Linked DNA regions of Arabidopsis thaliana. The protein of the gene in region 2 interacts with the protein of the main gene of each other region in a pairwise test. Each region holds a gene or a part of one and is shown on either strand. Other genes may lie near its edges.

Region 1 (8,286 bases), on a different chromosome or scaffold from region 2:
TTTCTACAACCCTTATCACTGCAAAATCTCGATCAGCCAGACAATTCTCACCACTTGGGTTTCAAGCCTTACACATCCATGTTGTTTTAATAAAATTCCAAACCATCCCCATTATTTTTGTAACTAGGGCTCCCCCATGAAGTTATTTTTGTGCAATATACTAACATTTAAGAAAAAAAACCTAGAAAATTGAAATGATACAATTATTATGAATTTACTAAAATTAGAGTCGCAAATCTAAGCGCGCATTACATCTATAGAGGCAGATAATGAAAAATATATGTAATTTTTTTTTGGGTTATATACTATTTTATGTTCAGCCAAGAAGGTGAAAAAGGAGCGATTGCTTAAAAATGTTTTCGTGTGGTTACCCGTGATGCAATGTAAAAAGAAAAAAGAAAAAAAAAAGAAGAGAAGAGAAGAACTAATAATTACGTGCACTTTAATTTACTGTAATACTTTATTGGAGTGCCTTGGTTCTTTTTCAATTTTTGTGGTCCATCTTAGCCAAAAGAGGAAATACTTTTATATAATATAAAATATTGTAACGCAAAGTATTGCTTAGTATTCGAAACACATTTTTTCAAATGATTTACGTCCCATTATTTCCCATGCAAACGGAAATATCCTCTAATGATTATTTCAAACACGATTATTACAGTACAGTCGAAATTACTTTCCCGGTTTAATCATATTCTGGCATATCTTATAACATATTTTTTGCAAAGGTATTCGCTTTTGTTTTTGTGACAAATTATTTATTAGGTTTTTAAATTATTACAAATAACTCTCACAGACGTATGTAATCCAACACATAAAATATATGGTTGATAAGAATTCACATCAATTTTGATTAATTTAGGGACTATAAATATGTTATATACAATAATTAATCTATGCATCTTTTTTAATCATTGTGATTGTTCTAGTTATAATAAAATATGGTTGATCACAATTCACAACAATTTTGATTAATTTATGGACTATAAATTTGTTAACATAATTAATCTAGGCATCTTTTTAAATCTTTGTGATTTCTCTAATTATATAATATGAACTGCAGAATTTGATTGTTCTCAATGTATAATCTTACGGGTCATACCATACCATCCATGCTTTGAGTTAGGGATGTCAAAATAGGTCAAAATTCATGGGTCAACTCAACTCAACTCAACCCATGAACCCTAATGAGTTGAAAATTTTGACTCAAATGAGTTGATGAGTCAAATGGGTTAATGAGTCAATTGGTTTGATGAGTAAAATGAGTTGGGTTGTAATGGTTAATGGTTTCAATGGTTTACCCAATTAACCCATCAAATTTTATAAAATTGAATTAAACCAACTAAAATCTCTAAACCAATGCCAATTTAAGTTTAACCAACACATCTAAACAAATTTAATAAAATTAATATTTTTCCAAATTTCTTAAATATACAAGCGATGAAATTGAGAAAAAATAAATTCGTAATTTTTCCACCAAAAAACATAAACCCGTGATTTTCTCGCCAAAAACGTAAACCCGTGATTTTCCCGCCAAAAACGTAAACCCTTAATTTTCCCGCCAAAAACGTAAACCCGTAATTTTCCCACCAAAAACGTAAACCCGTGATTTTCCCGCCAAAAATGTAAACCCGTGATTTTCCCGCCAAAAACGTAAACCCGTGATTTTCCCGCCAAAAACGTAAACCCGAGATTTTCCCGCCAAAAACGTAAATCCGTTATTTTTTCGCCCAAAACGTAAACCCATGATTTTTCCGTCAAAAACGTAAATCCGTGATTTTCCCGCCAAAAACGTAAATCCGAGATTTTTTCGCCGAAAAGCTTAAACCCGAAATTTTCCAGCCAAAAACGTAAACCCATCATTTTCCGGCCAAAAACGTAAAAAACTATAATTTTCCTGTCAAAACGTAAATCCGTGATTTTCCGTACCTAAAACGTAAACCTGTAAAAAATAAAATCCGTAAATATCTTAAGTTTGATGATAATGAATTAATAATGATAATTATTTATTATTGTTTTATAATAATAATTAATTAAATTATTACTTAAATGGGTTAACATCTCAAACCATTAAATTAAATGAGTTATAGGTTGACCCAACACATTTAACAAAATGAGTTGGGTCAACCCATAACTCATTTATTCTTAAACTCATTTGATTATAAGTTGAGTAGAGTTGGGTTATCCATTTTGATATCCCTACTTTTAGTACTATAGCTACAAGCCTACAACTATGGAGATTAGTGTGAATGTATGATTGTCGAATAAAAATAGAGTGACTAAATATTTTAAGCGTAAAAAGGTATTTATTCCAGCAAAAGAAAAGAAGAAAAACGACAAAAAGAAGACTTAAAAGTTGTAGAAATGTCAGTACGTATGTGAAAGACTGAGACACAGAACACTTTGTACAAGAACCAGTTCCAGTGTCACCGGTTACAGCCGGTCGCCTTCTCTTGATTCCCCAAAGCCTCTCCCACCAAACCCGGGACTTTTCACTTTTCATCAGTATTTTTTTTTGTTAAAGATTTTCATCAGTATTTTATATATATATATATATTATAAAGATCGAATTTGTTTGCATGATGAGGAAAGTATATCGAGTTACTATGTATCCATCGTTTGAAATACCCGTTTTAAAAAAAAATAATGAGATTTATTTTTAGGACTTCAGTATATATACGATTAACTTTTAACAGTTGTGTGACTAAAACGAAATGTAACAAAAATAAGAGAAAACTACAAAACAGGTAGTGAAAAATGACAAAAAAATTGTAGGACGCTAAGACGAAAAAATGATTCAAGAAAGAATATGTCTTTTCAATTTCAGTTTTACGAAATCGTGTAATAACGTAAATACTAAATCACGATTTCACAGAACCATATAAAATACTAAAATCCCACGCAATCATTAAACTTAATTCACCATTCTACGGATGACCTATGAGAGAGCATTGAATTGGCTTTAGTAACAAACACCAAAAAGATGAATCTTGACCAAATTTGTAATGCTCATACTAAATTCCTCCAAGTCTTATAAACATTAGATATTTTATATTTTAGGTTTTCAAAATATGTCATATAAAGAAAAATTTGATATACATATTGATCGTGCTTCAAAAAGACACCAAAAGAGCTTCTCTCTCTCTTAACCTCTCGTTTCGCCATTATCTCTTACACTGTTACTCTCTCTCTCTCTTCTTCTTCTTCTTCTTCTTCTGCATCTCATCGACATCATCCTTTCCCATGGCTGATGCATACGAGCCTTATCATGTTCTTCAACAAAGCCGGCGAGACAAACTTCGTATTCCATCTCTCGATTCCCACTTCCACTTTCACCCTCCTCCTCCTCCTTCCTCCGGCGGCGGAGGTGGCGTCTTTCCTCTCGCTGATTCCGATTTCCTCGCAGCCGGTGGCTTTCACTCCAACAACAACAACAACCACATATCTAACCCTAGCTACAGTAATTTCATGGGATTTCTCGGTGGCCCTTCTTCTTCTTCATCCACCGCAGTCGCCGTCGCCGGAGATCATTCCTTTAACGCCGGACTTTCTTCCGGAGACGTTCTTGTCTTCAAACCCGAGCCTCTATCTCTATCTTTGTCCTCTCACCCTAGACTCGCTTACGATCTAGTCGTTCCCGGTGTTGTTAACTCCGGATTCTGTAGATCTGCCGGTGAAGCCAACGCCGCCGCCGTCACCATCGCGTCTAGAAGCTCTGGTCCTCTCGGACCTTTCACGGGCTACGCGTCGATTCTTAAAGGATCAAGGTTCTTGAAACCAGCACAGATGCTTCTTGATGAGTTTTGTAATGTGGGTCGTGGGATTTACACCGACAAAGTCATCGACGACGATGATTCTTCTCTGCTTTTTGATCCGACGGTTGAGAATCTCTGCGGTGTTTCTGATGGCGGCGGAGGAGATAATGGAAAGAAAAAATCAAAACTCATCTCCATGCTCGACGAGGTATACAATAACATGATCAATTCTAATCTCTTTAAATTATTGAAATCTGTAAATTTTCTTTAATTATTGTCTATACTTTCTTACAAGTATGTGAATTATTGTGTTAAATGTTCACAGTTTTTGGTCGGTGTCCTTTGGAATTGGAGACAAAATGTGTTAAATGATATGTCTCTTAAAAAGATCTTCCTTGGAAAATGAAACTCCTTCAAAGCCATTTTAAAATTATATGATATTTTATTTAATTCATTATAATACCATATGTTAATTAAATTAATGTTCCCTACGTTTTGCATGAATAGATGATGTTATAGCGTCCATTTTAATACATTATATAAATTACAAGCTTGCCATCTTCATGCTGATTTTTAATAGAATTTTAAGGTTATACTAAAGTAAGGATAATATTATCTTGAGGAAGTAACTTTATATAGAGCTTCCTTAGCTCTTGATCTGAATTTGTGAATTAGATTCTTCAAATCTTAGGGGTATAAACATTAAGTGATAAAAAGAGAACGTCTTCTTTATGAAAGGAATATATGCATTATATGATCTTAAAGCTAGGGACTTAAAGATTTTAATTAGTTTATTCCGAGGTATATAACATACTTTTTGAGTGAGGAAATAATGTATAAATTTATAATCACCCATTTTATTATGTAAGTGGGGGAATCTAAAAACATTTCCATGTGACGTTTTGAAGGTTTACAAGAGGTATAAGCAATACTATGAGCAGCTACAAGCTGTGATGGGATCATTCGAATGCGTTGCAGGTCTCGGGCACGCTGCTCCGTACGCTAACTTAGCCTTGAAAGCATTGTCTAAGCATTTCAAGTGTTTGAAGAATGCTATAACGGACCAGCTTCAATTCAGCCACAACAACAAGATCCAACAACAACAACAATGTGGTCATCCGATGAACTCTGAGAATAAGACTGATTCTTTAAGATTTGGAGGAAGTGATAGTTCTAGAGGCTTATGTTCTGCTGGTCAAAGACATGGATTTCCTGATCATCATGCTCCTGTTTGGAGACCGCACCGTGGCCTACCCGAACGTGCTGTTACTGTTCTAAGGGCTTGGCTCTTCGATCATTTCTTGCATCCGTAAGTAACCCTTCTCGCCATATAAATGCTTTTGAAAGTTGTTGGATTCGAGTTTGAACTTGGTTCCAACAATTGATTAAACTAAATGCAAACGTTTAATTGATCATGAACCAAATTGTATATATATGCTTGTGAACAATAGCTTTATATGTGTGTGTCAGTGTGAATAAATATGTGTGTATCGAAGTGTATTTTTACTTGGAAGTATGTTTTAGATGGGACATGTCGACTGCTTGTTTGTTTCCCAAACTTGGAGATGTCGTGTTGCAAGCGTAATTATGTGTCTATATATATGTGTATGTTAGTATATACAATGATATATTAAATTGTTGTTGTCTGTGTCTTTTGTTGCAGTTATCCAACAGATACAGACAAACTCATGCTGGCTAAGCAGACAGGTCTCTCCAGAAATCAGGTTTCACTTCTGATATCTTCAGTCTTCTTCTTTTTTCTCTTTCCATCTTTTCTTGTTCACAATTTAACAAATTTCTTGCTAATTAAGCATGCACATAGTCACATAGATAAATATATGCTTTTATGAAATGAGTTTCTGTTGTCGGACAATAATTATATGTTTTAAATCTTTTCACATATATCATTAGTATAGTAACTATGTTATAATTTGGTTTATTAGGTTTGAATAAGTGTTACACTTTTGTTTTTGAAAATTTATCCGTTGGTGATAATGAATAATTTAGGGATTTTCTATCGCTTGAGGGTTATTAATTTATTATGGTAAAATGTTATTTTAGGTATCGAATTGGTTCATAAACGCAAGAGTTAGGGTTTGGAAGCCGATGGTGGAAGAGATTCACATGCTGGAGACTCGACAATCTCAGAGATCTTCTTCTTCCTCTTGGAGAGACGAACGTACTAGCACCACCGTCTTCCCTGACAACAGCAACAACAACCCATCTTCGTCCTCGGCACAGCAAAGACCTAACAACTCATCTCCGCCTAGACGGGCACGAAACGACGACGTTCATGGCACAAACAACAACAACAGCTATGTAAACAGTGGGAGCGGCGGCGGTAGTGCGGTTGGTTTCTCGTATGGAATTGGGTCGTCGAATGTGCCGGTGATGAATAGCAGCACAAACGGAGGAGTGTCTTTGACGTTAGGGCTTCATCATCAGATTGGGTTACCGGAGCCTTTTCCGATGACAACTGCTCAGAGGTTTGGGCTTGATGGTGGTAGTGGCGATGGTGGTGGTGGGTATGAAGGGCAAAATCGTCAGTTTGGGAGAGATTTTATTGGTGGTAGTAATCATCAGTTTCTACATGATTTTGTAGGTTGAGATTATTTGTGTGGAAAGGAAAAAATATGTTTGACGTTTGGGTATGTATAAGAAGATATGGGGGAATTGAAATGCATATGATGTGTATATTAGAATGTTTCTTCTTCTTTTTTTGTTGTTTGCTTACTTTCACAAATGTTATCTTTTTAAGAAATGAAATTGGATTCAATAACCAATGTTAAAAACATGGGTTAGACTTTAGAGTTGTCTATGTCTTGGTGAAATATAAAAGGCATCTATCATTGTTTTAATATTTTGGCATGATTCAAAACATGGTGCTTTTTTTTTTTTTATGTATGTCACAATTATCGTTGAAGAACGCGATTAAGATGTTTATCATTGATCGTTGATATTATATTTTGAACTATCTTGTTTTACTTGATAGTAAACATTGACTAAACAACATGTTTTCAAACCCTAAACCTTGAAATATTTCAGACTATTTGAGTTATCTTTTTGAGTCGGATGCAGTTTTGACTCCGATCCGCTCAACATTGTTGAATTCTTCTACTCATAAAAGAAGTTTGAGCCGATTTCAAACACACAAAACAAATGAGTTCGGTTTAATGTTCAGTGTGTACTAATACGTTGGCTTTTGAAGATCACATGAGAGCAAAAGTATTGAAAATAAAATTGTGCTTTTGTTGCTTCAAATAACTTTCCATTTGCTTTTGGAAAACAAGAAAGATATATATATATATATATATATATATATATACATAACCTTTCCCTCTCATGGGAAAAAAGTAAATCTTTTTCTTTGTAGAATTTATTCTCCGATCCTAACCATTTCTCAGCCTTTTTGTTTGTTTACACCATTTTTGTTTATATTCTTGGATTATGTCTATATAGAATAAGATGTAAACATAAACTGTATTAGCAAATATGTTTTGAATTATATGAAATTCAATAATTGAGAAGAGGTTCATGTAATGAGCCGAGAGAAGAATATAAAAGCAGTCAAATAATTTTTTCAAAAAACTATTTGTATATTAAAAAGGTACAAAGTAAAAAATAAATTTAAGAAGGTGCCATCATTGGCTCCTAAAGAACAAACTACAAAGAATCAATTTCTCATGATTTGATCTCTCACAATCCGTCTCCTTTATGTGGATGCGGAAAAACACTCTCCACACGTTTCATGTAAAAATTTTAGTTAAATTTCTAAAAACAATAGAGATACTATTCGATTTGTTCTTGAATTATTCATGAATACATATAGTGGCAACCTTAGACACTAGCCACGTCAACCGTACATGTTATATCATATATTTTTATATTGGTCTATCTATATGCTGAACTAGAGTCTAGAGATAAATATGAGAACATATAAGAAACCATGGACAACTAAAGATATTGTCTTTCTGTGTGAGTATTTGTTCCAGAAGCATTAAACCTTCGGAATAAGTATAATTCTTTTGCACCATTACTATTTTTATAAGCTTCACCAGCTCTATATATATTCTCACCATTAACATAAAACAACAACAACACGAAGAAGAAGATGAAGGTACTTGATGATGAACGGGTAATCTGCATCCTGAGGTTTAAAACCAATTAAGCATATACATATGCGAATGTATAGTTTTTAATCCTCGGGATACAGTTTACCTCTTCCTTACTCAAGAAAACACTTAGCTTTAACGGTTTTGGAGAAAGAAGAAGCATCGAATTAAATCCATTTGAAACAGGTTAGTTATCTTAGTGAAGAATATATCCATCAATCATAATTTGGTCTAGTCATTCGAAGTGGGATATGATTTGATACATATAGTCTAAAATATGATTTTATGCCAGTAATATTTTGTTTTCCCTGTCCCCTACCTATATCTAGAGCTTGAGATCCTCCTTTTAAAACTTTTAGATGATTAATCGTTTTACAAATCATAGTCCCAGACTTTCGTTCCAATCTAGATCGGTTTAG
Region 2 (9,997 bases):
ATAATTTAAAACAACACCTATGTGCATTTGTTAGTTTGTTACATATTCTAAACTTTCCTTATTTATTTTTATATTAAAAAGAGATTTCCTTTTGTATCTCAATTGTTTATATGCTCTATATTTAGACCGGATCTCGACTTAATTAATATTGAACATTTTACATCACTGAAATCTTGAAGAAGAAGTAAAACTATTAGTAATATACTAATATCCTATCTTGACCCAAAAAGCATAAGGTTACTATAACTCAATACGCATAACATTATGGTTCGTGCTACTTAAGCTGCATTTCACTAGATTTATTCCCCCATATATTCCATGAAAAGATATGTCATTAGTCACTCATGAATTACATACTATTTATTTATCTTTTTCGAGCTAATAAAACCACAAAGAAAATGTATTCATATTGTTTGTCAGATTGTCCACGTACCGCATTTGGATTGGTTTTTTCTTGTCACGTTTGGATTGGCTAAAGTTGATACTTTACACATTGGTTGAATATTTATTTAAATATAGTTAGAAACAAATTTTGGCTTACGTCCATCAGGAGGTGATGGTGTATATAAGGCTTGATTATGAACAACAAAGACCGAGACATTTGGTGCTCTAATCAGATTTCTAATCCAGAAGATTTTTGGTCCACAGACCACAGATATATCTATTCTGGGTTACTTTGTCCCTTCCTATAATAGCAGGTATGTTCACATTTAACAACTTTGTTGAGTGGGAGGTTTTTTTCTCCTAACATAAATGAGATCAATTATTACTCTGTTATGCTCAATCATGTCCAAGTGGTATTATATAATTCTTTCAAATAAACCCGCAATTTCTCTTTATGATATTAACACTGATTCCGAACTTTTATACCAAAAGATTTTCAAATGATTCTTATAGTTTTATCAACAAAAAAAAAAAAAAACAGATTCTTATTAGTTATGAATGGGCATATACAACCATTGCTCGAATCATATCAATTATATATCTTACAAACATTGCTGGAATAATATCGATTATTTGTTATGCATCATATTCCAAAACTAAGATATCAAGGGTTTTTGCAAAACAATACCCACATAAATATAAAAATTCTAAAATTAACAGGTTAAATACCGATATACCTAACCTAGATCACTCCTTTATTTGATGTAAAACACTTGACTAGTCGGCTACTCGGCTATAAACCTATAACCAGATATAACTATCAATTCAAATATTAAAAGTGTAACAACTAACAAGTGGTTCAAGCTGATGATGGTATGGGTATAAACTAGTAATCCTAACATTTTATAAAAGTTGGGTGAGGATCAACGGTCGGGATCCAAGGGAATGGGATGGAGGGACCAAAGCTGTGTTTGTTTTTTATATGGATTCATACGAAACCGTAACTTTGTGTCAGATAATTTTCGAACAAACATGGCCCGAAAATGGATGGGTCAATCAACCTGTCCATCAACGAAAAGACCCTTTTAACACTTTTTTTTAATAGAGAAAATAGAGGAACATATTTGATAAAATATTGGTTTATAAATCTTGTTATTGTTTTTCCGTTGATGATTTACATTATGGAAACAAGGTTTCGAAGCACTAAACTCATTAAATATGGTTGCAAATCTATAAATATTGGCTAAAAAATCATGGCTGGTCACTATGAACGTTGGAGATTAGTTTGGAAAAATTCCATAGTTATTAAAAAATGGTTGAGAGGCTTAGTAAATTTCCTCAATAATTTATTTGTTGGATCCTAGGTCACAATTAGAATGGACCACGAGCCGAATTATAAATTCAGTACTTTAGCTGCATGTATAATACGTAGACGAACTTTATAATTGGGTTACATATATTTATGTCGTCTTACATTATTTGGTGATAGATTATTGCAATTATATAGATAGGTAGGGAGATAGGTACAGAAAAATGAAAAGAATCTATCAAATCACAAAGCCTAGATATGTTGATGGAAAATGAATATAACATCGCACGTAGTTTCCTGAGCTCAATACTCAACATCAGCATCCAAGTGGCGCATCGCATGGATAACCAGAGAAAGAAAATATTGAACATTTTGATTGTGTCTCCAGAAAAAATTTGTATTGTTTTTTCTCACCAAGAATATGCATATGTGAACAAATAATATGTTAAATAAATAAATAACATATTTTCGTCTGATCTTTGCCAATAATAAGAAGGCAAACTCGTTTGTGATATATATATTGTTTTCGCTTTTGTGACTTCATATTTATCTAATTTCAAGTCTCCTTTCTTTAACTTAATTTCCCCTTGATTATTTATGATACGTTAGGTGATTTAGAGCAACCAATAGTTTGCAAGTACCTTTAAGATGAAAATGACTTTCTCTAGTCTTTGAGAAAAAAAATAAAAACAGAAACAAAGTTTATATTAAAGTAGTATGAAAGAACATGCCACTTTCTTGATTGAAAATTATATGATAGACGTAAAAAGCTGTCGACAAAACTAAAAGAATAGTTCCATTCGAAATATTATAGATGCTCTCGTTCTATTTTCTTTTTGGTTAAAGTGCTCGTTTTTTTCTTGATACTCTCTTTAAATTACGGCCAATTTCATAATTTCAAACTTAATACATATGTAAAATCATTAAATATACCAAATTATGCTTATGTCTATTTTTGTGAATAAATTACATAGTTCATTTTCATAAGCTAAAGTCATCATGAATATCAGCATCATCAATTTTGGCATAAATTTCATAAATCATAAATTAGCTAAGACCATTGATTTTGCAGCTCCTATACGCCTAGACCAGCGTTTATTTTATTCTTAGTTTTATCCACAAACTTGCTTTATACAGAACTATTCTAAAGTAAACACTAGCTGATACTATATACTAATTTAATCTTAATTAGACGATTTTCCATTAGGGCCTTCTTATCTACTATCTAGGAACGGACCTTCGCTTCTCGAAACCCATTTCATCCCGTACAATCGAAGTGTCCAACATCCGAGTTGGTAAAAAATTTCTTACTACGTAGTAGGTACTAAGAATCACTTATCATATCCATATATTCTTCACATTTGATTTATTTCATACCATCATTTGAATATATATGTGTTGATTATCATTTTGTTAGTAGTCGTGTTCGATAATTTTGTTCTGTATCTAGCAACAAATTTACAGTGACAAGTATTAAAATAATACCGCTCTTTAACTATATATATGTATGTATCAGCTCACTAGTTGTTTGTAACCAGTTCTTGTTTTTCCAGTTTGATATATTCGATTCAACATACCCAAAACATCTCTCATATACTGAACTAATATCTATTTCTAATTGACTCGATTCAATATCATTAGTACTATATTATCTTCTGATATGCGACTTCATTTGTTTTCTTTCTTCTGTTCGGTTTTCCACTTGTTGTTTAACATTTTCACCTTGTTTCACTATTTGCAATCAAATAAACGATTTATGTAGGTGTATCTATATATGTTCTTAGGATCATAATAAAAATATATTTTCTACAAAGTTTTTCGAAAATATATATACATTGGGGATTATTTTTTTAACTGTCTACAGCTCACACATGCATATTATCATATTTGAATGAAGATAACGATACAATGCCGATACTGATACAAATCATTATGTTAGATGCTCAATTTGTTTCTATAGGTCCTATAATATATACATCAAGTCATCAACTATACTTTTTGAAAAGAAAATTACACAGAGCTTTCAAATAAGTTGCGTGTAGTTTAGTGGTTATATGTACTAGTAGTTATGTTACCATCTAAGTGTATTGTCGATGAGAAAAAAAAGAGTTCAAATAAACTGACATAGTATGCTGGTAAATAATCACACTTTTTCCGTTTTTTCCATTTCGTTTTCAATAATATATAATTTTGTTTCTCGCCATGTTTCATTGATATTAAAAATCTCATGATCATGCAAATTCTATCATAACACAGCCTTGGACCTTTCTTAGATATATATGTTAGGAAGGCCTTATCTCGACCTATGAAGCCTGAAGCTCCATTGAGCCTTTTAGCATATGTCCTTTTTCGTAATTATCATTTTATTTTTCTTCTCCGTTAACTTTCATATCTTTTTTCTTCCAAAAGAAAATAAATTAAGATCCCTCGAGCCTCTCTCTCTCTCTACACACTCCCATAGAAATAAATATTTTCAAGAACCAAAAAGTTTGTTATAAGCGGTTTCATATTATTCTTCTTCATCGATTCTTGATTTTGCAAGAAGACAATTCAAGAAAGCGATTTAGAAGACGGAGGAGTTCTTACCGGAGATCTTATACTTATGGATGGAATGTACAATTTCCATTCGGCCGGTGATTATTCAGATAAGTCGGTTCTGATGATGTCACCGGAGAGTCTCATGTTTCCTTCCGATTACCAAGCTTTGCTATGTTCCTCCGCCGGTGAAAATCGTGTCTCTGATGTTTTCGGATCCGACGAGCTACTCTCAGTAGCCGTCTCCGCTTTGTCGTCGGAGGCGGCTTCGATCGCTCCGGAGATCCGAAGAAATGATGATAACGTTTCTCTAACTGTCATCAAAGCTAAAATCGCTTGTCATCCTTCGTATCCTCGCTTACTTCAAGCTTACATCGATTGCCAAAAGGTGATCGTTAACTCTTTCTTTTTTTATCACTTAGATAAAATCTAGGTTTTACTTTTTAAAGATAAAGATAAGATTGAGAAGCTTTGATATTTGATTGTTTTTTTTATAATTTTATGGTTTAACAATTTCATAATTTAGAAACAGGTCGGAGCACCACCGGAGATAGCGTGTTTACTAGAGGAGATTCAACGGGAGAGTGATGTTTATAAGCAAGAGGTTGTTCCTTCTTCTTGCTTTGGAGCTGATCCTGAGCTTGATGAATTTATGGTCTCTCTCTTTTTTTCCCTCGATTTTTTTTCGGATTTTTATTTTTGTTAAAATATTTTTTTTTGGAAATTTTTGTACTTAAGAAGATAATTTATTATCAGGAAACGTACTGCGATATATTAGTGAAATACAAATCGGATCTAGCAAGACCGTTTGACGAGGCAACGTGTTTCTTGAACAAGATTGAGATGCAGCTACGGAACCTATGTACTGGTGTCGAGTCTGCCAGGGGAGTTTCTGGTATGTCTTAAATTATCCCTCTCTGGTTCGGTCTTTTAGTGGTTCTATTTTGTGGTTAGTTCTGAATGATTTCTTTTGATCTTTTCCGTGGTTTTTCATTAATAATATCCTTTCCTCGATATTTCCATAGGGTTTTGATTCATATGACCAGTTTCTGAAAAATGATTGGTAGCTTGTTGATAGAATAACCCTAGGCTTTTGAAGTGATCAGAAAGCAAAATAGATAAAAAATGAAAAAAAAGAAGATAAACCCTAGCTACAAGTTTCATTTCCATAGCTATTTTTCCCTTGATGGGTTTTGTTTTGTGTGTGCTTTTCTTTTGGGCACGTTGAAACTCTGGAGACAAAGATCTGTTTAAGGTGTTGTGCAATTATTTTACTCGTTCATTTAATGTTTTAGCCATGGGATTAGGGTGTTGGAGTGTGGTGGGGATTTCCTCTTCTTCTTGTTGTTGATCTTTGTGCTAATCATACAAATTTTACTTTATATCTTTTTCTCTTCTTTCTCTGTCAGAAAGAAAATGGTGTAGAAAGCAATAAACTTTTGTGGTAGAGATTCTGATTTTGACGTTTCAGAGGCTTGTTGCGTACTGAATGTTTTTTCAACTTGTTGCTTTTTTCTAGTGAAAAACCAATTGACAGAAAAACCTAGTCATAACTTTTTAACAATATGTGTAGTTGATTTTTCATGAGCTTCTTTTGCTTCACTTCTCGTTTAACAATAAGTAAGTATAAGTACTAGTCATAACTCATAAGTCGCTTCACTCTTGTTTATGGGTAACAACCTTATTAGGTTACCAGTTTTTCTAAGACTTCAACTTCTTTTGGTCAGATGATTATTAATAACCAATAAGCCATAAGAGTTATTAGCTGTAATTCCTCTTTAAGCTCATTCACAGATTCTCTGGATCGGAATTAATAAGCGTGTTTAGATAATTTTACGATTAAATTTCTGTTATATCTTAATAACACACCATATAATTTTTCTATCTAATTAAATAGGTTAAAACAATAAAGTTAAAATTGTATTTTAAATTTAATATAGAAGTCTACAAAACGACATTCTTTGTGAAATAAAAATTTAATCCTGAATTCGACATTTATTATGAAGAACGTAACTTTGGTCTATTTCAAGTTTCAATGATCTGAGAACAAGAGTAGGGAGATTTTTGTTGATCATCGGAAATAGTATCATTGCCAAGTGGCCACTCTTATCTGCATGTTCTTGTTGGAGTCTTGTTGGACTTATATGTAAGTAATAAACCAAAACTGACTCAATTTTGAAGCGATTTAAAAGTCTAGGTTTTATGCTTATACATGAATGAAATGCTTCAAATAAGTGACTTTCTTTGTGGTTTACTGATATTATCTCTTTAGACCACATATTGTACTACAACTAGCAAAAACATTGTGGCCATAACAAATCAACCGATCAGGTTAGCTAGAAATACTGATCCTTAGGAGTTTTTTTTTTAATACAATAAAATAGAAGAAAAACTCCAGCTGAAAGAGTTAGCTGTAAAGAAATGAAACTCCATAGATTGGTAGACTTTTTTTCAGCTTTGCAGGAGTTTTCCATTATCGTGGTCGATCTCAAATGCAGGTTCCACTTGTACTTTGGTAATATTGTTTATTGGGGGAAAAAAGCTGCTGATATATAAAAACATATCAGCTTATCTTTATAAACTAATCGAGAGTTAGCATAGAGTATCAACTGGAAAAGTTGAAAATAGATCGATGCAGGTTTTCCATAATGGACGAATGTTTATGATTAATAATTTTAAAATTTGTTCAAAGTACAACTTGCCTTTTTGAATGATCTCATCTGTTTTTTTTTTCTTTGGTTGTGTGCTTTATTTAACCATCTTTTTCTTTCACCTGAATGAAATCATAAACTAATAAAGAAAAAAGAAGCTTACAATTGTTAGACAATATTCACATGGGATGCGATGTTATCTACTAGTTTCTCAGTTCAATCACATGCTTGGTTTCTTTCATGTTGATCTGATTTAGTAATACAAGTTGATCACATAGACTTTTGATTTCTCACTTCTTGGTTGTTGTGATACGGTAATGCAACTTAGCGAAAGCCCTTCTTTGGACTAGCTAAAAAAGCAACACATTCTTTTCTTCTAATGCGTGGTTATCTTGCTACTTAGAGTGGATGGTCTCTTATTGACTTTTATAGTCAACATTTGTCTTGTTGCATGCAATATCATCAATGTTACATGTTTGCATATTTGATCTAGAAGATAAGAATACTGCAACGAGAAGAATAGGAACATAGTGCATGATTAGCTTGAATTAGAGGTTCTTTTGGTTTTTGTTATAAAGTAAAAGGTGGAAAAGTCACATGGACTCCCGTGGATTCCGCTAATGACCCCACCAACTTTCTCTCCTAAGATTTTATTTTTGATTTGGTTATTAAAAAAAAAAGGAGACATAGGGTTCTCTACACACCACAATCAAATCATCTATAAGACTGCGACTATGCTTCTTCTCTATCTTTCTCAACTCTTTTGCCATGCCCTCTGGTTGCGTTGTTCCCTTGGTGGGTCGTATTATGTCTCTCTGAGGCACGCTACTAGCACGTGTCTACTTGCATGTTACCTTCTTCAGTGAACCCTATTTTCAAAGCAGTCAATGCATTGCTGAAAATGTAAATAATAATCCCAACCATACAAACTATCGTTTTTTGCCATTAAACTGTTACCCTAACTACTCATATGTGTGTAATGTGAACGTAATGGTCTCTATAATATATGATCAGTTCATGTTTTATGCATTTTAGTATATTTTTATTGGCCTATTTAACATCTCTATTTCCTTCATAATTACTGTGGCTGCTGTAGAAATCTTTTAACTTTTATAATATGTTTATAAAACTGACTGAATTGCGTGAATTATAAATTGACTGAAATTACCTTGGCTGTTGTAGAAATCTTTTAACTTTTTTTAATATATGTTTATAAACTGACTGAAATTGCGTGTATATATTATGTAGTCCAGTATTTTGTGTGACTGACTAAATATTTTGACTAAGCACGGTTGCTTGGTCCGACTATATATTCTGTCACATAGGCAAAACTATTGTAAAATCAGGTAATGTTCTTGAATCGTCTTTGGGTTGAGTTTTGGTGTCAGAGAAGCTGGGTAAGTGGGTCAGTAGAGTCGTTGGGGCATATATATAAATGTCCAAATACATTAAAGAAAGAGAGAGAGAAAAGGAAATTGAGTTTTGGGGTATCGTGGAGAACATAAATGAGAGGTGTAGCGTTATTTCCGGGGGTTCACACAACCTCTAAATGGTATTTACACGTGTCATATTGAGATTGGGTAATTAGTAGGCCTAAGGGGGGATGTCTCCTCATGGGGACAAGACTATTAGTCCTCTCCTGACAAATGACAATGGAGGTAACTATTCACTGCGGCGGTTTTTTGACTGCTGCACTCAATCGTGTGCGTCCTCGATATTCTCTACCCCTTACCACTCTTTCTTCTTTCCCTTTTTTGCCCTCTTTAGCCACTTAGCCGTTTTAGCCGAGAAAGCCCATTTAAACTTTTTCATGGTAGTGAATAGTGATAATTCTGTTACATTTACTTGCTATAACCTATAACCATTCTCTGTCTTTGATGTCTTTGTATAGTGATAATTCTTGTGAATTTGGTGTAACAGAGGATGGTGTAATATCATCTGACGAGGAACTGAGTGGAGGTGATCATGAGGTAGCAGAGGATGGGAGACAAAGATGTGAAGACCGGGACCTCAAAGATAGGTTGCTACGCAAATTTGGAAGCCGTATTAGTACTTTAAAGCTTGAGTTCTCAAAGAAGAAGAAGAAAGGAAAGTTACCAAGAGAAGCAAGACAAGCTCTTCTTGATTGGTGGAATCTCCATTATAAGTGGCCTTACCCTACTGTAAGCAAAAGCAACACTTGCATGTTTTCCGACATAACTAACCACTACACTTATATATAAATGGGTGGTATGAATGTGTGTGTACACAGGAAGGAGATAAGATAGCATTAGCTGATGCAACGGGGTTAGACCAAAAACAAATCAACAATTGGTTTATAAACCAAAGGAAACGTCATTGGAAGCCATCAGAGAATATGCCTTTCGCTATGATGGATGATTCTAGTGGATCATTCTTTACCGAGGAATGAATTTATTTATGGTACTTATTTAACGTTGATTAAAAGATGGATGTATAATTCTGCCTTGCTTTGCCGACAAAGGAAAAAAAGAAAGAAAGAGTGAAGCATGGACGACACATGAAATGGATCTTACACTCACTCACATGTAGTAGAAGGAACAAGTCAAAATGCTTTGTAACTATTATTATCGGTGAATAAAAATAACCTCTTTTGTCTTCTCCGGACCTCTCGTGATATAGCTTTTACCCTCTTATTGGCAAAACGTTGAACAAACAAAATACTTAGATAGGTTAGATTTGTTTATTAACTATGTGTTTTTCAAAAATAATTATAAAATATCTTGTTATTTGTGTAAATCACACTAAATTAAACACATTCTTTTATTGACAGTTTAATCATCATGTACATTTTGCTAATTGTAGCCAAAAGTTTAGCTATCTAGCAATTGGAACCTTGTGCCCATAATCCAACCATCTCTGTTTAAATTTTGGGGTGGGTTTCAAATTATCCTTATTGGGCCTAAAATCGGCCCAATATTAAACTGAAACCAGACTTTTATCCAATCCGAGTAATCGGAACAAAACAACATGATCGTGTGAACCAACGGCCAAAAAATGGCGGCTCTACTCGGTATCGTCTCTCCTGTGACTTTCACCGGAAAGCACCCGGTAAATTCCCGATCGCGACGGAGAACGGTAGTAAAATGCTCGAACGAAC
Region 3 (7,327 bases), on a different chromosome or scaffold from region 2:
CGATGGAAGCAGGCTCAATTGTACTTATGGATTTATTATGGTAAGTTCATGTCTAATGCTGTATCATTCTATGTTGTTTCCGTGATCCTTGTCTCACTAGTATGTCATCTTGTAATCTGTTAGGTCGGATCCAACTGAAAATGACAGTGTCGAAGGTTTAAGGCCCAATGCTAGAGGCCCTGGGTTGGTTACTTTTGGGGTGAGTGGTCTTTTTCTTCTATTTCGTACACTTTGCATTGATTACTGCTCTCTTTCCCTTCCCCTCCTCACCTCATACTCCATTACATCAGCTTGAGTGATCTTTTCTTTCCGCTCATTTTGAGCTTCCTAAGTGTGAAGAGTACTGATTTTGCTAGTCCCTTACCCTTGACATATTCATGGGCTGTTGTTAGACAATTATATTGAGTAATATAATTCTACTTCGCTTCCATAAGTAGTTCTGCCTGTTCTATTACTTACCAAGAATTTGACAACTGCAGCCTGACCGTGTCATGGAGTTTTGCAACAACAATGATCTGCAATTGATTGTACGTGCGCATGAATGCGTGATGGACGGATTTGAGCGTTTTGCCCAAGGTCATTTGATAACGCTCTTTTCGGCAACAAATTATTGTGGTATGTTTATGGAACCGAGAACTCACTCCTAAGCTGGTAATAAGACCTGATCTGATAGTTTCTGACAAAAAATGATCTATATTTATTCCTTCTCAGGTACCGCAAACAATGCCGGGGCTATCTTGGTGTTGGGGAGAGATCTTGTGGTGGTTCCTAAGCTTATCCATCCATTGCCTCCAGCGATAACCTCACCTGAAACTTCACCAGAAAGACATATAGAGGATACATGGATGCAGGTTTTTATCTCAAACAGATACTAATGCCTTCCTTTTTCCACCTGGAAAATGGCGTAACTAAGCATTGATATTTTGCAGGAGTTAAACGTAAATAGACCACCAACACCAACAAGAGGACGCCCACAAAATCCAAATGACCGCGGCTCTCTTGCTTGGATATAAACCCTACAGAAAGAGTGACGAGTGCGAGATAACATACCTCTCCCGAGTCCTGACAGCCGCCTCTAGGTGATCCTCATGTTGTGTACAGAACCAACCAAACCATTCAATTATCGATTGCTATTTACCAACGAGATGGATCAATGAGGGTTTTGAGTTATCGAAGAATTTCACAGGTTAAGTTCATTCAAGTCAGATGATGAAAGGGTAAAGAATTTGTAGTAGTAGTGAGGAGGAAGAGTATTTGTTTTGTAAAAGGGGTTTTCTCATTTTTATTCATATATTTGATTTTCTTCACTTTGCTTTTTTTCTTAGTATTGATTATATATGTGGTATTGGACTTTTGGTGAGGGACACAAACAGGAGAGTGAGTAGGAGGAGGATTTTAGAGGTTGTTTTAGTTTTGGGGTATTTATGTATCATAGAGAGGTGTGTTTGGTCGTTTGTATAATGTCTTCATTCATATTTTTCAGTATGTAATTTGTAGCAACGGTTTGTGTGTTTAATGATACAGAAAATATTCTCTCCCATTTTTTCTATCATATTCTTATTTTACCATCATTTTTAAAACATTTCTGTATTTTGTTAGTTTGTAAAATAAAAAATAAAAAATTGGATATGGAAGACAAACAAAAAATCAACTCAAATAAATAAATCCATAACTTCTTGGTAGCCAATTAACTTGTGGTTAGGTCACTAAGATGATCATGTAAAACAACAAAATAATAATTATAGCTAATATATATTCATTGTTTTGTGGAACAAATTTTAGAAAAAAGACAGAAGAGGTGGGAGATTAAGTTAGGGTTTTTGGGGACATACACACACACACACACACATACACGTTCATAAAGTCACAACTATTAGCTAATATGGATCTCACGGTTGATCTGATCTTCATTTACACTCATACGTAACAATACTAACTAAAACCTGACTATCGAAAACCATATATATTTCTTTAGCTTAGTATTGTTATCTACATTTTTATCATAACCTTTACTTAATCATCTCCTCTCTATCAATCTACACACATCAACCCATACGAAACCATCCAAGGGCCAAAACTATACACAGAATATACGTAAGCAACAAGCAGAAAATATATCATCCCCACTAATTATTTCTAATCCATGATTTGATAAGTTGAAGATGAATATATGGCCGAGTTCTCAGTTCCATGACTTGTTGACTCAAAATGAATGTTATTAAAGGTTTGGTCACAAGAATGAGGCAGGCCGAGGGAAAGGGAGACGCTGTTTCCATCCATTGTGTGATAGTTTTCGAACCCTCCGTTGAAATTGATGAAGTTCGCTTGATTCATGTGTTGCTTCGTGAACCTCATGACTACGCTGCAACTTGAGGATGAATTTTGCCTAGGGGTTTCAGTTTCAGTGAATCCTTGACGAAAGGCGGGTAGGATCGTGTTCGAAGATTCATTTGAAGTTGTATTATTGTACGGTTGCTTTGAAGATGAACCTTTGGTACTATACCGGTCACTTCCTTTTCTGCTTTCTTCAATATCCATTTCTTCCGAATAAAGTTCCTCCACCAGTGGCTTCCACATTCGAACTCGAGCATTAATGAACCAATTTGACACCTACATCCATTTTACACAAGATACTATTAACAATACTTATTTTGATTATATATAATCATGGGTGCTAAAAGAAAGTATTCCATAATATATATAATTACTAATTTAACCAAAATAAATTTGATTTACTTTACAAAGGATCACATATATGATATTTCTCGTATGCTATCATCGCTATTTTCATTAAAATAATTATAATAAAATAAATATACATCATCTATCTAAATAAATTTACCAAAATATATTTGGTTTACCTGCTTTTCTTAGAATTCTTGGGTACGTTTTTGTTTTCAGACTCGAAAAGAAAAAAAAATAGAAATAAAGAGATATCTTTCTAAAAATATTTTTTTGATCGGAATAAAATTTGTTTGAATCTATATATATATTCGGTTTTACCTGTAGATTATTTATTCTTGATAGTCGGTGTTAGATGATGTCATGAAATTGTATATGTACTATGTATGAGACATCTAACATTAAGAAACTTAAGTATGTCCAACTTCTGATAATCGAAATCAATTACCTGACTCTTAGTAAGGCCAGTCTGTTTGGCAAGCATTACCTTATCCAAATCCCTCGGATATCTATACAAACCAAAACAAGACACAACTAAATCATTAGCATGCATGTCTATACAAAACTAAGTAATGATCCTAGCTTCCATATCCTTAGTTAGTTCCCTTTGCTTCAAGGTCCCATCATTCTGATATATCGACAATAATCGTAACAAGAATTAAAGATAGAAGAAAACGTTACTTACGGATGAAGAAAATGCTCAAAGAGCCAAGAGCGTAGAACGGAAACAGCTTTTTCGGGCAAACCTCTCTGCGGTCTCCAAGCATTTGAATGGTGATGTGCCATCTTTCCCAACTTCTTAAGCTGCTCGTCAAATTCCTTTTGTCCCAAGAGCTTGTTTATTTGCTTGATTTGCAAACTTATCATGTCTTTTACAGCACGAAACTGCTTTGATATTGTTTGTAACGCCATATGTGTGTATGAGTTTGCTGAGCCTAAACCCGCAGCTTGCTCAAACGATGAGATTATAGTCTGCATTTGGTCATGGTATTGCTTGTATCTCTGTTCCACCTGTGTATAATTTACCAAATTCATTTCCCAAATCAATTTACCAATCTTTGAAACCTTTATAAAGTATCAAATACTTAACATGCAATAACCAAATATATGGACTGAACTTGAGTCCCGATCTCAAAGTAACAGAAAGTTTATTGCCATTATATATATCACCATGGTTGGTTTGTATATACAAAGATCTTATTATTATTATTTGTGTATCACATATTATATAGGTAGGTATAAATAAGTTACCATTTCACCCATGGAGATGAGTTTTGCTTTCTTCATTTGCAAAGCAGCTACGCCAGGCTTATAGCCACCATTGATGTCCTCAACTCCATAAATCGTGGACTCTTTACTCACCGGTCGCTCTTGTTTTGCGCCGTGGCTACCGTTTCCAACATTGACAATCTCATTGAGTAATTCTTGAGCCGCTTTCAAGTAGATCGGAGCCAAAGCCCTGAAGACTCCTCCGTTTGAAAAAGTGGAGATGGAAGAATTTCCTTGTTCTATATGACCTACTTCATCTCGAGGTCTATATTGTTGGGAACCAAAGCACAAGTTGTAGAAGTGATCGTCATGAGCATTAGTGGTCGTTGTCTGCTCGCGAAACGGATTCAGAGTCATCATAAAAAGATCAGAAGAGTGTTCTCTCATTTCAGATTCTCCAAGAAAGAAAGCAGCCATTATTCTGACAATTAAGCAACAAAACTTGCAATTCAAGAAAATATCAAATTATAATATAAATCGATCTAAAACATTAATAATATCCAAGAGCTTAGGAAGAAAAGGTAAGCAAAAGATGATGAAATAAAGATGTGACAAATCAAGAAAATTAAATTACCGTTTTTATTTAATAATTAGAAATGATGAGCAGCAAATTATGGGTGTGAGTTTCTCATTGTCTTCTTCGACGTGTCTTTCTCTCTGCTTGCGATGATCATCTAAATATCCTCTGCTTCATTGATCTGTCAACTAGAAAGTCCAATAAGTCGCCTTTATAAATAAAATGTGATTGGACTTTTCATAAATGGGAAAAATATGTACTTTTTTCTTTTATATCTCATTGGACAACTAAACAGTGACACTCACGATTAATATTTTTCTTGTGATGTTTCGAAGTTCAATGGATTTTGACCAATCACCAATTCTAGCATACATGATATATGCACGGCATGCTACTGCTACATATCCAATATTTCTCACTTGCATCTTAGGCACGATTCACACCCAATATCCAACCTAGCTAAAAAATTTCAATGTGGTCGCAAATGTAGATCTACGAGACAATCTATCTAAGAATAAGTATAGCTACCATATATATATTTTTACGATCACACTTCTATCATTGTCATTCGTTTTACCATTTGTATACTATAGGTGAAATAAGATTTTAATTAATGGTTGTTGACGAGAAAAATATATTACAGATGGTAGTATTGTCTTATCATTTGATGTCCGCACGTTTAATATTTGGCAACGCATCTATATGATCCCTACATGAATAACTTAGTAGGTCAACATTTATTATTAGTATATTGTATTATTATTACTAAATTAAAATCTACAATGAATCTATGTATATGTGTATAGTTAAATGTATGTGAAAAGATAATAGAAGTGGGTCAGCAGAACCATGGAGATAGTTGAAGAACGAGGAAACGTCTACTTCCACTCCACACATCAAAAGTCTTCTTTTATGTATTTAGATAACCATATTAGTTTGCGACAAGTCACTCTTTTTCTTCTTTTCCACAACTAAACAACTAATTAACTGTATTGCAATGCAAATCTATGTTTAAAAATTTATCAGCCAAAATAAATAAAGTTTATTTGCCTGGTTCCGCCTTTATCTTCAAAATTTCCCTATTCCTTTCATATAGTTTTCTAAATCATATTTTCTCTTATGTTTTCTTTGTGTTGTCAGTACTTGTGTTTGAAGATAGTAATGGTACATTGGAAAATAGACCACATGGTCCACAATTCCCGGAAATTCATTACTCTTCGAATTAAGCATCCATCCATAGTTAAAACACATTTTGACATAGTAATGTATCTAGAAAATAATTTCGAATACTAATATAAAATTTGGATTTTATTAATAGATTACATTTAGACATTATTTTTTGGTGATGCCATTATCTGCCTGTATTCCTCGGAAAGCTTCCCATCACACACCGAAATAAAGCTAGACGTATCTTAATTGATATCGCGATATGTGTTGAGATCAATTTTTTTTCTATTATTGAATGTGATAATAACTATTTAGTTTGGTGGATTGAGACTGTGTATGAGAATTCATCGTGTCGGTCAGATCCAAGTTGTATTTATATCTTTCACTTTATGATAATAGTATTTTTCCTTTTTAGATCAATTAAGTATAATGCGACATTGCTATTTATTTACATTCGTGGATTTGTGTCAATTCGCCATTCGTCCCGAGAGTAAGTAACTGTAAAAACAAATAAGAAAAAGACAATGCAATACAACTTTAAAAAAGTGTGTTATAAAAGTTTAACTAGGATGAGGAAAGAAAGAAAAGTGAAGTGAAACAAACTGTATGTTAAAAGCCGAAACTAAATCCAGATTATATTTATAATATTTCTAATCGTCTTGAAAACAGCTTAGCAAACTATACGTTCTTTTTACTGTTTGGTTTTCAGCTGTTTAATGTTTGTTCGAATTTTTAAAAACGGCTTAGCAAACTATACGTTCTTTGTATAGACCAAGTGAATTTTTAGCTAGGTAATAAAAATGAGTTTTGAATATATTTAAAATTTTGATCTAGAGAATAATTTTATGCTTTTGTTTTCTCTGAAAGCTTATGACCTTTAGAATAAATTTCAAAACCAAAGTTTCTTTGATGATATTTGTGGTTGGTCCACAAAATATAGCACTAAAACTCAACTTTGGACACGATAACATTGAAAACATATTCTGTTGATTATATCATAAGGTAAGTGAAACAAAATACTGATGGGATATTAAGGGAATGACTTGGACATTCCACTAGGGTATTGAAAAAGTTGGGTTAGCATGAATTAATCTAAAGCCATGTTGGAATCAGAGAATGACAAGTGTATTCTTTACTTTGTCAAAACCATCATAACTGATCAAAGATCATCATTAAAACGTTAAGATTGAGTTATAAAGCTAATTAAAGCTTAAATTACTAATTAAAAGCGCCATTAGAGCAACGTAAAAAATAAAGTAAAAAGAAGTAGGTCTGAAAAAAGTAGCCATCTCGTGTGGACTGCATTATCATGCAACTTCTAATCTTAGTTAGCCATTATGGAAACAATTCATTACTTTGTCATCTTATAAGAACCTTTTGCGTATTGACTTATTGTTACTCAAATGATGTTTTAAGAGATTGAACATGATTCTTTTTAATCACTTGTCGTTTGCAAAACTTGAAGAGGTAAAATCTTTCTATAGTATTTTGCTCCTACTCTAATATTGTACGGTCACCCGACTGTGATAGAATCAATCCCAGACTCGTGGCTATCTCTAGATAAACTTTTTTTCCAAAATGACCATCTACTTGACACATTGCCCGAACTCAACTTTTTTCGTCATAGTCTCTAACCTCATAGTCTAATTGACACATCTACTTAGATTCTTTCCAAGCCCTAAACTCTTTCAC
Region 4 (7,628 bases), on a different chromosome or scaffold from region 2:
GTTCCATTTAAAAAATTAATTAGGCCGGTTTTCTTCTAAATGAGTTGTGGTTTCTTGTTAGGACGTGCACTCATACCAGCCTTAAAAAAATTAGTGACAAAACAAAACTGAAATTTTTAACAAAAATAAATAAATAAAACAAACAAAACTGAAATTAAGAATCGTGAGGGTACGGTCATCATCCACTACATCATCTTTACTCCTTTTTATGTGCAACCATAAAATAATACGTCGAACATTAATTATAGTGACGAATCAGTTCATTAAAGCAAAGTTCAAACAACTTTGTTCTCTTTCCATAATCTCAATTAATCAGTAATCCATTTAATTTATCATTGTGTGACGAATCAGTGCATCGAAGCAAAGTTTAAACAACTTTGTTCTCTTTTTTCCATAATCTCAATCAGCAATTCATTTAAGTTTAACACTTTTTAGCAAAAAATTATGAGAAAAATTTATGACTCTATCTTTCAGTAAGTATGTTATGATCGATTAATTTGAGTTAAACGAAGTAGTGTATCATATATAGTATATCACTATCAGATTTATAGAGGCCTAATCGTACATTATTCAGTTGGTTATAGCTAGCGATATCTCTTGATTGGAGAATAGGAATGGAACTTTGACCGATATTGAATACCTAGTCTTCAAGGATTCTACAATATAATTATGATGATTTGGTAAATTTAATTGGGTTATGATAATGAAGGCACTCATATTAAATAATCAGGTCACTAACCTCTTTAGACTTATTGTGGCCAACAATAGGAAAGTAGTCTCCTTTCAACTTTTTCTCCAATCCCACCATTTCCATGAACAATTTTTTTAATTAAAAGCATTAAGAGATATTTGCATTAATTAAATGATGGATAAATCAATTGTTGTTATGGTATTTTACTATTTTTATTTATTTGTAATTGATACAATCTAATTTTGAAACTCAAGCTAATCTCTATTTAAACCGGTTTTTATTGTTGCTTTTTATTTAAAGCATTCACGTTGGCTAAACAAATTAGTTAACTTTTAATCGTGTTATTTCTTTAGAGATTATATATAGTGATATACCAAACGCATTGGCTTCTCTTTTTTTTGATAAGGTACGTGTATCTAAATACACAAGATACAGCTTAAGGCACATCAAAAATTGAAAGGAGAAAGAAGATGGGTTTGTTGCCATTGGTGAAGAAACTAGGTTTCATCATCTTTCTTCTAGTTTCAGCTTCAGCGTTTGCTCTCTGTTCTGCAGGTTTGTTTCTTACTTTTTTTTCTCTCTCTCTATCTACATATTTATATTCCTTTGTTTGCAGCTTTTCTCTGCAACTTCATGTGCCTCCTACTGAGATCAGTCTTTTAGAAAGTAAGATAATAACATTAAGAGCTTGTGCTCTCCACATGTGTGTTAATGACGACTAAAGGAGAAAATTAACGACATAGTATGTTACGTTAGTGTTATTTGGATTGATTAATCTTGGATATAAAGAATAGACAAGCTTAAGTCTCTTTTTTTTTTCTTTTTTGTAGGCCGATCATCCATTTTAATCTATAGCCAAGAAGATGATCATCCCGAGGTATTCGTTTTAACTCCAAAAAAAGTTGCCAACTACCGTGCGTTGTATATCTTTACTTAGTAAAAAACCGAACAAATTGATAATCAAGATCGTAGTTATATGATTTCAAGAACAATTTTGTACGTTGGTGAATACATTCTATTTGTGGACAGGTAGTAGAAAGAAGAATACATGAGCATGAGAGAATTCTGAGAATGAATTCAAGAGACTATGGCCACTCCAGTCCTAAACCAAAGCTCGTGAGACCTCCTTTCAAGCTTATTCCCAACTGATCATGCATATCACCGATCGACTATATATAGATGCCAGACTTTCTGAGATGTATAATATATGTAAACCTAAATACTAACACTGCAATAAGTTTGAATGATAATCATATATATAAGTTTCAAGATATGTTTTCTAGTAAATTAATGATTAGATAGTGCTCTTTGCTATCATGCAGAATGTAAATTTGGTGAATAGTCATCATTAGATGAATATTACAATTTATCTGATAGAATCCTTATGATCAAAATTAATATTGAAATATTCGATTAATTCTGAAAACGGATACAGATTGTATATGTGCCAGACAAAAAAAAAGAGAAGAGAATTGGGAACGTTGCAGTTTCGTAGATGTGATAAGATAATAAGTCTACAGTGTAATGTCCATCTCTTGCAGATCTCAAATTGCATTTACCATATTCTGTTTGGTCCCAATGACCTAACCTCACTTATATTCTTGTACAAAAGAATGTTTACTTTATACAAATATTTCTAAAACTTTTTCTTCTGACCAACATTCTTCCACTACAGAATTGAGACTGATCATAAGTTCATCACACCTATGCTTTATTCCTCTCCATTGCTTACTTCTTCAAGCTACAAAATCATGTACCAATTGTGAAGAATTTATCCGGTTCTGGCGACTTCCGGGGTTTACATACTCCATTTCATCTCCCGGGATGGCATTCTCGTAAATATCCACCCCGGAAAAGTTGTTGTATGCCTCACTAGACATAGCCACAACATTGTCCTGTCCTTGAGAGTTTTGAAGCCCTAGAGTCAAGGACACATCACCACGACCCAATCTTGACGTATCAGCCACATGATATGTAGGCTCAACTGCCATGAACCGGCGACCATCCATATGACTGCCTTGGACCATGCCACGAGTTTCCTCGCCATATCCATGTCCATGGTCCGGTTTGGTCTGGTCTTGTGAAAACTCTCGAGCTCGATCTTCATCATCAGCAGCAACAGGTCCTATCTCAGACATTTTCGGTGTATTTTCGGAAGACGAGTTGGAATCATTCTCTGTGAATTCCTCCTTGTATATCTCCTCCACCATTGGCTTCCATAAACGCACTCGTGCATTTATGAACCAGTTTGAAACCTTTTACAAACATAAAACACACAACAATCAATAAATAAACTATACTATGAAGAGAAAGAAACAATCTTCAAATAAAACATTCCTTACCTGACCGCGGCTCAAGCCCGTTTGTCTTGCTAGCATGATCTTATCAGAATCCTTTGGGTAACTATTCATGTTTTCAAACAGTAATCATCACTATTTATGAAGAAAATGTGTGGAGATAAGATTCAAGGGAGACTTACGGGTGAAGAAAATGCTCAAAGAGCCAAGCACGGAGAATCAAAACAGAGTTTTCAGGTAGACCGCGTTGAGGTCTCCAAGCTTGAGGTTGCATAAAACCTCTTTGTTGTCTTAAATGTTGATCAACGTACTTAAGCCGGCTTATAATCCCAACTCTTTTCCCATCTGATCCATCTTGTTGTTCCCCAAGGCATTTACGTAGCACGAGGATTTGTCCGGATATCGCATCCCTTAGGCTACGAAAATGGCGAGAAATTGTTTGAAGGGCGAGTGCTGTGTATGGCTTAGCTGCTCCATAACCAGCTATCACATCGAACGAGGATACAACTATCTGCATCTGCTGGTAATATTGCTTATATCTTCTATCCACCTTTACCAAAATCAAGAAATATCTCATTTTCTTAAATATTCAACATATCCTATATATACCAAATGTAACAACATTATGGCTGCAATTTATTTAAATGTATGCTTTTTTGCATTTAAAATATTATAACAAAAGGCCTATAAAAGGTAACCATCACATGATCAAATTAAGAAGATTAGGTCTCAAGTTATTACCTCATCCAACATTGACAAGAGTTTTGTCAACTTGCTCTGCATTTCTTGTCTCTCCGACTGAGAGATGTCCGCAGGAGGATTCGTGCTCGAGTCTTGAGTGCTCTGATTCGGTTCTTGAGGGTTCTCATTGTTTTTATCTCCCTCTGCCTGAAACTGCTTTAGAGCTTTCTTTACATTAACAGCCTCATCTAGAAGCTGTTGAGCCGCCTTAAGATACTTTGAGTTGGGAATTGTTCTCACAACATCCAAGTTCTGATTCCCGCCCGGAAAACTCTGTGTTGCATACTCATTGCCTCTCGGCGCCATATTTTGATGGCTTATCTGATGAATTCCTGGAAGAATCTGTGAACCAAGGCTAAGGGACAGTCCCTGACCGGTCTGAAGAATCCCCGTGGCACCTGCCATCGCGCTCATTAGCTGGAAACCGTTCCTGTCACTCGCTTGATCTCTCCAAGAACCGAAATCTTGACCAATGTTCTGCATTTGTGGAACTCCCCCAAATCTGGACAATGCTTGCCTCTCTTGTGAGGCTGAGACATTGTTAGCTTCAGTTCTTCTTTCTCTACCGGCTGATTCCTCAGAGTAAGAAACTATAGCATTCTGGATCATTGAATCTCCGGGAATAAACTGTGTTTCTGGATAATTCTCCATCGAAATGGAGTGTTCTTTTTGGCTCACTTGAGTTCCATAGTCCCTTGTTTTCTGATCAGGTCGTAAGAACTTAACCTTATGGAGGAAATGCTTGACATTAAAGACAGATTCAAAAACAATTGAAACAGAGCAGGATCCATATAATCAGTGTATTGCTAAGAAACATGTAAGATTTCAACATGTCTTGAATATATGGTTATGCATGCAATTATGGAGATGCAAGCCAAATCCATAGACAACAAAAAAAAAAGAAGAATTGTATAGAAATAAAAAGATTAGTAAATTACCTGGAAACCAAACTGCTACTTCTGATGGATTGTTGAAGGAGACAACAAAATCTTGAAAAGAATTAAAAATTAGAAAATGTGAAAGATTTTATTGATATCTTAAAAGAAAGAAATCAGAAGGTTACGCCTCTTTCTCTTGGTTGTGTTTTTTTTTTGGTATGAGATATAATTTGAATTCATCATCTCATCAATGTCACACGTGAAAGACCCATATCATACTCTCCCTCCTCCGGAAGAAAGAAAGAATGGAAAAAAAAAACTTTGAATTTCTTATTTAATAGTATATAATATGGTAATAAGAAAATCAAATAAAAACTTTATTTTGTTTTCTGAAGATATTGCTTCAGAAAGCCATAATCTGGTTGGTGCTTGAACCTCCTGCTTCTTGCTTATTGATTCCTGGAGTCAAGTCTTTGGTAAAGAGAAGAAAATTATTGTGAAAATGTTATATAAATGTATGGTTAAGGAGTTTCTATCTTTAACAACCAGTTGGTCGACCTAAACCCCTCTCTCTTCATCTTTCTCCCAATCCTAAACCTAATCTTAATCCCAATCCTTATCACTCTCTGTCTCTTAATTACACATTGATTAAATCAATATCCTCCATATAATCACATTTCTATTTTCTTTACTTAAGTTGAAAAGTACAAAGAATCAAAGATGCTACTAGCTTCTTGACATAAAGTCATCTTAAATTTAAATTTAAATTCGGAAGTGTTGAGTTATATAGTTTATTTTGCAAGTAAACAATAAAAATTTAGCAGATTAGTAGATCGTGGTGAATTTTGATTAAGTATATATATCACAACTTGTTTTTCTGATGAATAGGTCATTAACTTATCATTATAAACACATAACTAATGTTTATTATGTGAGTTTTGATTAAGAGTATTAGCTACTTTACTTTTTAAGTAAGCCAAGCCATGATTGTTTCTTCTTCCTTTTCTTTATATATTTCTTTCATACTTTTTTGGTATCTGATTATACATTCGTGGACTCTGGTCGTCCAGAGGCTATGCAACTATTAAAGAAATAAGGGTCCCAAAAAATAACAAACACAACTTTTTCTTCTTTTTTATTTTCATTTTGTAAACACCATAAGTGCTCGTTTTCCCCACTGAGTTTTGTCTTTTCCTGGAAACAACTTGTAGATATTTATGGATTAGTACTTTTTCTTTCAAATGCTTCTAAACTTAGCATTCACTTTCTTGTTTGACAGAAGTCTATATCCTAAGTCCTAAGTCCTAACTTGGTAACTACTATAATCTTTAAGACTAGGGTCCAATACTGATTAGAGGCTGAGAGAATCGTTAGTTCCATGGGCGAGACTTGAGAGCAACAACACAAAGATAATGAGAATGACTTAGATAGTGATAGGAAGTTGATCAGGGTGGATTTTTGAAGAAATATAAAGTATTAGGTGTAGAATGAAAATAGAGGTATAGCTGTCTGAATAGGGACAGATGTTGCAGCGAGAGGGTCAGAGCCAGAGATGCCGTAATAATACGAACAATGAACATCTCTGAAGGAAGAGAGAGAGAGAGAGAGAAAGAGAGAATCTAATGGGATACGAAGCGAGAGATTTTGTTGGCCCAATAGAGCTGTAATGTCCCAAAGACACATCCTTTTTTCCATAACTATAACATTTTTATTAGAAGACCAATTTAGTTTGAAATAGATTATTGTCTAGTTACTAGTCTCTTGCATGTGTTTTTAACACATATAGACGATACAAATACATTTTGGCAGATATTGAAACCAAAAAGACGGAACAAAATTTTGAAGAGAAGCAATATAAGAGTTTCAGACCTATATGAGAATAAGAACTAATTTCAAGATCAACGAGATTATATAACTACTACCATGTAGAAGTAAAGATATACATAAAAGGTAAGAACGAGGTTCTAATGTCCAAGATCATATTCAGGCAGATAACTTTTTTTTTTTTTTTTTTTGAGCAAATATGGGCCTAATTCCTTTTTTTAGCATACAATCCAGATATTGAGAATGAATCTTATTTTTGAAAATATGGGCCTCTTACCAAAGCCTATTTAGTCTAAAGTGAGAATTGTTAAATGTAAAAAGGCATGCTCATATTAAAGAATAAAAATTCACCAAACTCTGTTGCAGAAAAGTCTTAACCAACATAACATTAAACTGCTTTCACATAGAAAGCAAAAGTCTTAAACAACATTACATTAACTCCTTTCACATAAACAGAAAAGTCTTAAACAACATTACATAAACTCCTTTCACACAGACACAAAAGGCTCTTTCTTGCTCAACGCATCAACACTCTTAGTTCAAGATTTCACCTGTAATGGGTGAAACATGTTGGCTCGTAGACTTCTGCCCATTTTTCGAACCGACCACTACCATAGGCTTTGGTGGTATCAAACCGGCCCTGAAAAGCATGCTTTCCACTGTGTCTGTTGGTTGAGCTCCAACAGATAACCAGTACCTGCATTATTCGAGTACCATAGAGTGAAAATCAATTTCTTTCAACAGTTGCACAAAATAAAAAAGAAGTTTAGTTAGACACCAAGAACTGTGTGGATTTAGACTTTTAAACCAGTCTAATCAAATCAATCATACAAGCAAAACCAAGCCTCACAGAAAACTTGCACCAGATGAAATGCATTAGGTGTAGAAACAACCAAACATGACTGAGAGAAGCAAATGAATTAAGGATTGTAGCCTTATGCAAATAGAGTTTTGGACACAGAATCAACAGAAAGCATCTCAATTTGTCACAATCTAAGCAATTAGGCAGCATCATTGTGGCAAGAACAAGTTTATGACCTTGCAGAATACTAAAGAGAATGAATTAAGATGATTAAAAGACAAACAAGAAAACACATTCATGAGGAATAATCAATCATATGGATAATGTCGAGAAAGAGACTCTTTAGTGTTTCAGTCTTATCAAACAATCATGAGTTTCACATCTAACTGGTGTCC

The links.
Region 1: the proteins of KNAT6 (region 2) and RPL interact in binary tests that used the Arabidopsis thaliana proteins (3 or more experiments, as listed by UniProt).
Region 3: the proteins of KNAT6 (region 2) and BLH5 interact in binary tests that used the Arabidopsis thaliana proteins (3 or more experiments, as listed by UniProt).
Region 4: the proteins of KNAT6 (region 2) and BLH6 interact in binary tests that used the Arabidopsis thaliana proteins (3 or more experiments, as listed by UniProt).

Annotation. Positions count from the first base shown.
Region 1 is NC_003076.8:392,511-400,796, forward strand, and holds RPL (POX (plant homeobox) family protein), read left to right. Parts: upstream 1-3,056; 5' UTR 3,057-3,243; coding exon 3,244-3,963; intron 3,964-4,663; coding exon 4,664-5,064; intron 5,065-5,418; coding exon 5,419-5,479; intron 5,480-5,816; coding exon 5,817-6,362; 3' UTR 6,363-6,615; downstream 6,616-8,286.
Region 2 is NC_003070.9:8,296,791-8,306,787, reverse strand, and holds KNAT6 (homeobox protein knotted-1-like 6), read left to right. Parts: upstream 1-4,187; 5' UTR 4,188-4,295; coding exon 4,296-4,616; intron 4,617-4,754; coding exon 4,755-4,883; intron 4,884-4,984; coding exon 4,985-5,123; intron 5,124-8,799; coding exon 8,800-9,041; intron 9,042-9,130; coding exon 9,131-9,289; 3' UTR 9,290-9,497; downstream 9,498-9,997. Other genes in the region: MENG (S-adenosyl-L-methionine-dependent methyltransferases superfamily protein), read left to right, coding at 9,895-9,997. UniProt on the Arabidopsis thaliana protein: Plays a role in meristem function. Contributes to the shoot apical meristem (SAM) maintenance and organ separation by controlling boundary establishment in embryo in a CUC1, CUC2 and STM-dependent manner.
Region 3 is NC_003071.7:11,635,170-11,642,496, forward strand, and holds BLH5 (BEL1-like homeodomain 5), read right to left. Parts: upstream 4,369-7,327; coding exon 3,934-4,368; intron 3,748-3,933; coding exon 3,368-3,747; intron 3,192-3,367; coding exon 3,131-3,191; intron 2,611-3,130; coding exon 2,137-2,610; 3' UTR 1,937-2,136; downstream 1-1,936. Other genes in the region: BSL3 (BRI1 suppressor 1 (BSU1)-like 3), read left to right, coding at 1-40, 124-199, 480-615, 712-851, 930-1,013.
Region 4 is NC_003075.7:16,528,119-16,535,746, forward strand, and holds BLH6 (BEL1-like homeodomain 6), read right to left. Parts: upstream 5,245-7,628; 5' UTR 4,668-5,244; exon of another isoform or gene 4,456-4,667; 5' UTR 4,381-4,455; coding exon 3,730-4,380; intron 3,539-3,729; coding exon 3,171-3,538; intron 3,095-3,170; coding exon 3,034-3,094; intron 2,947-3,033; coding exon 2,428-2,946; 3' UTR 2,228-2,427; downstream 1-2,227. Other genes in the region: AT4G34600 (uncharacterized protein), read left to right, coding at 1,162-1,246, 1,522-1,568, 1,721-1,840; SSR16 (small subunit ribosomal protein 16), read right to left, coding at 6,966-7,128.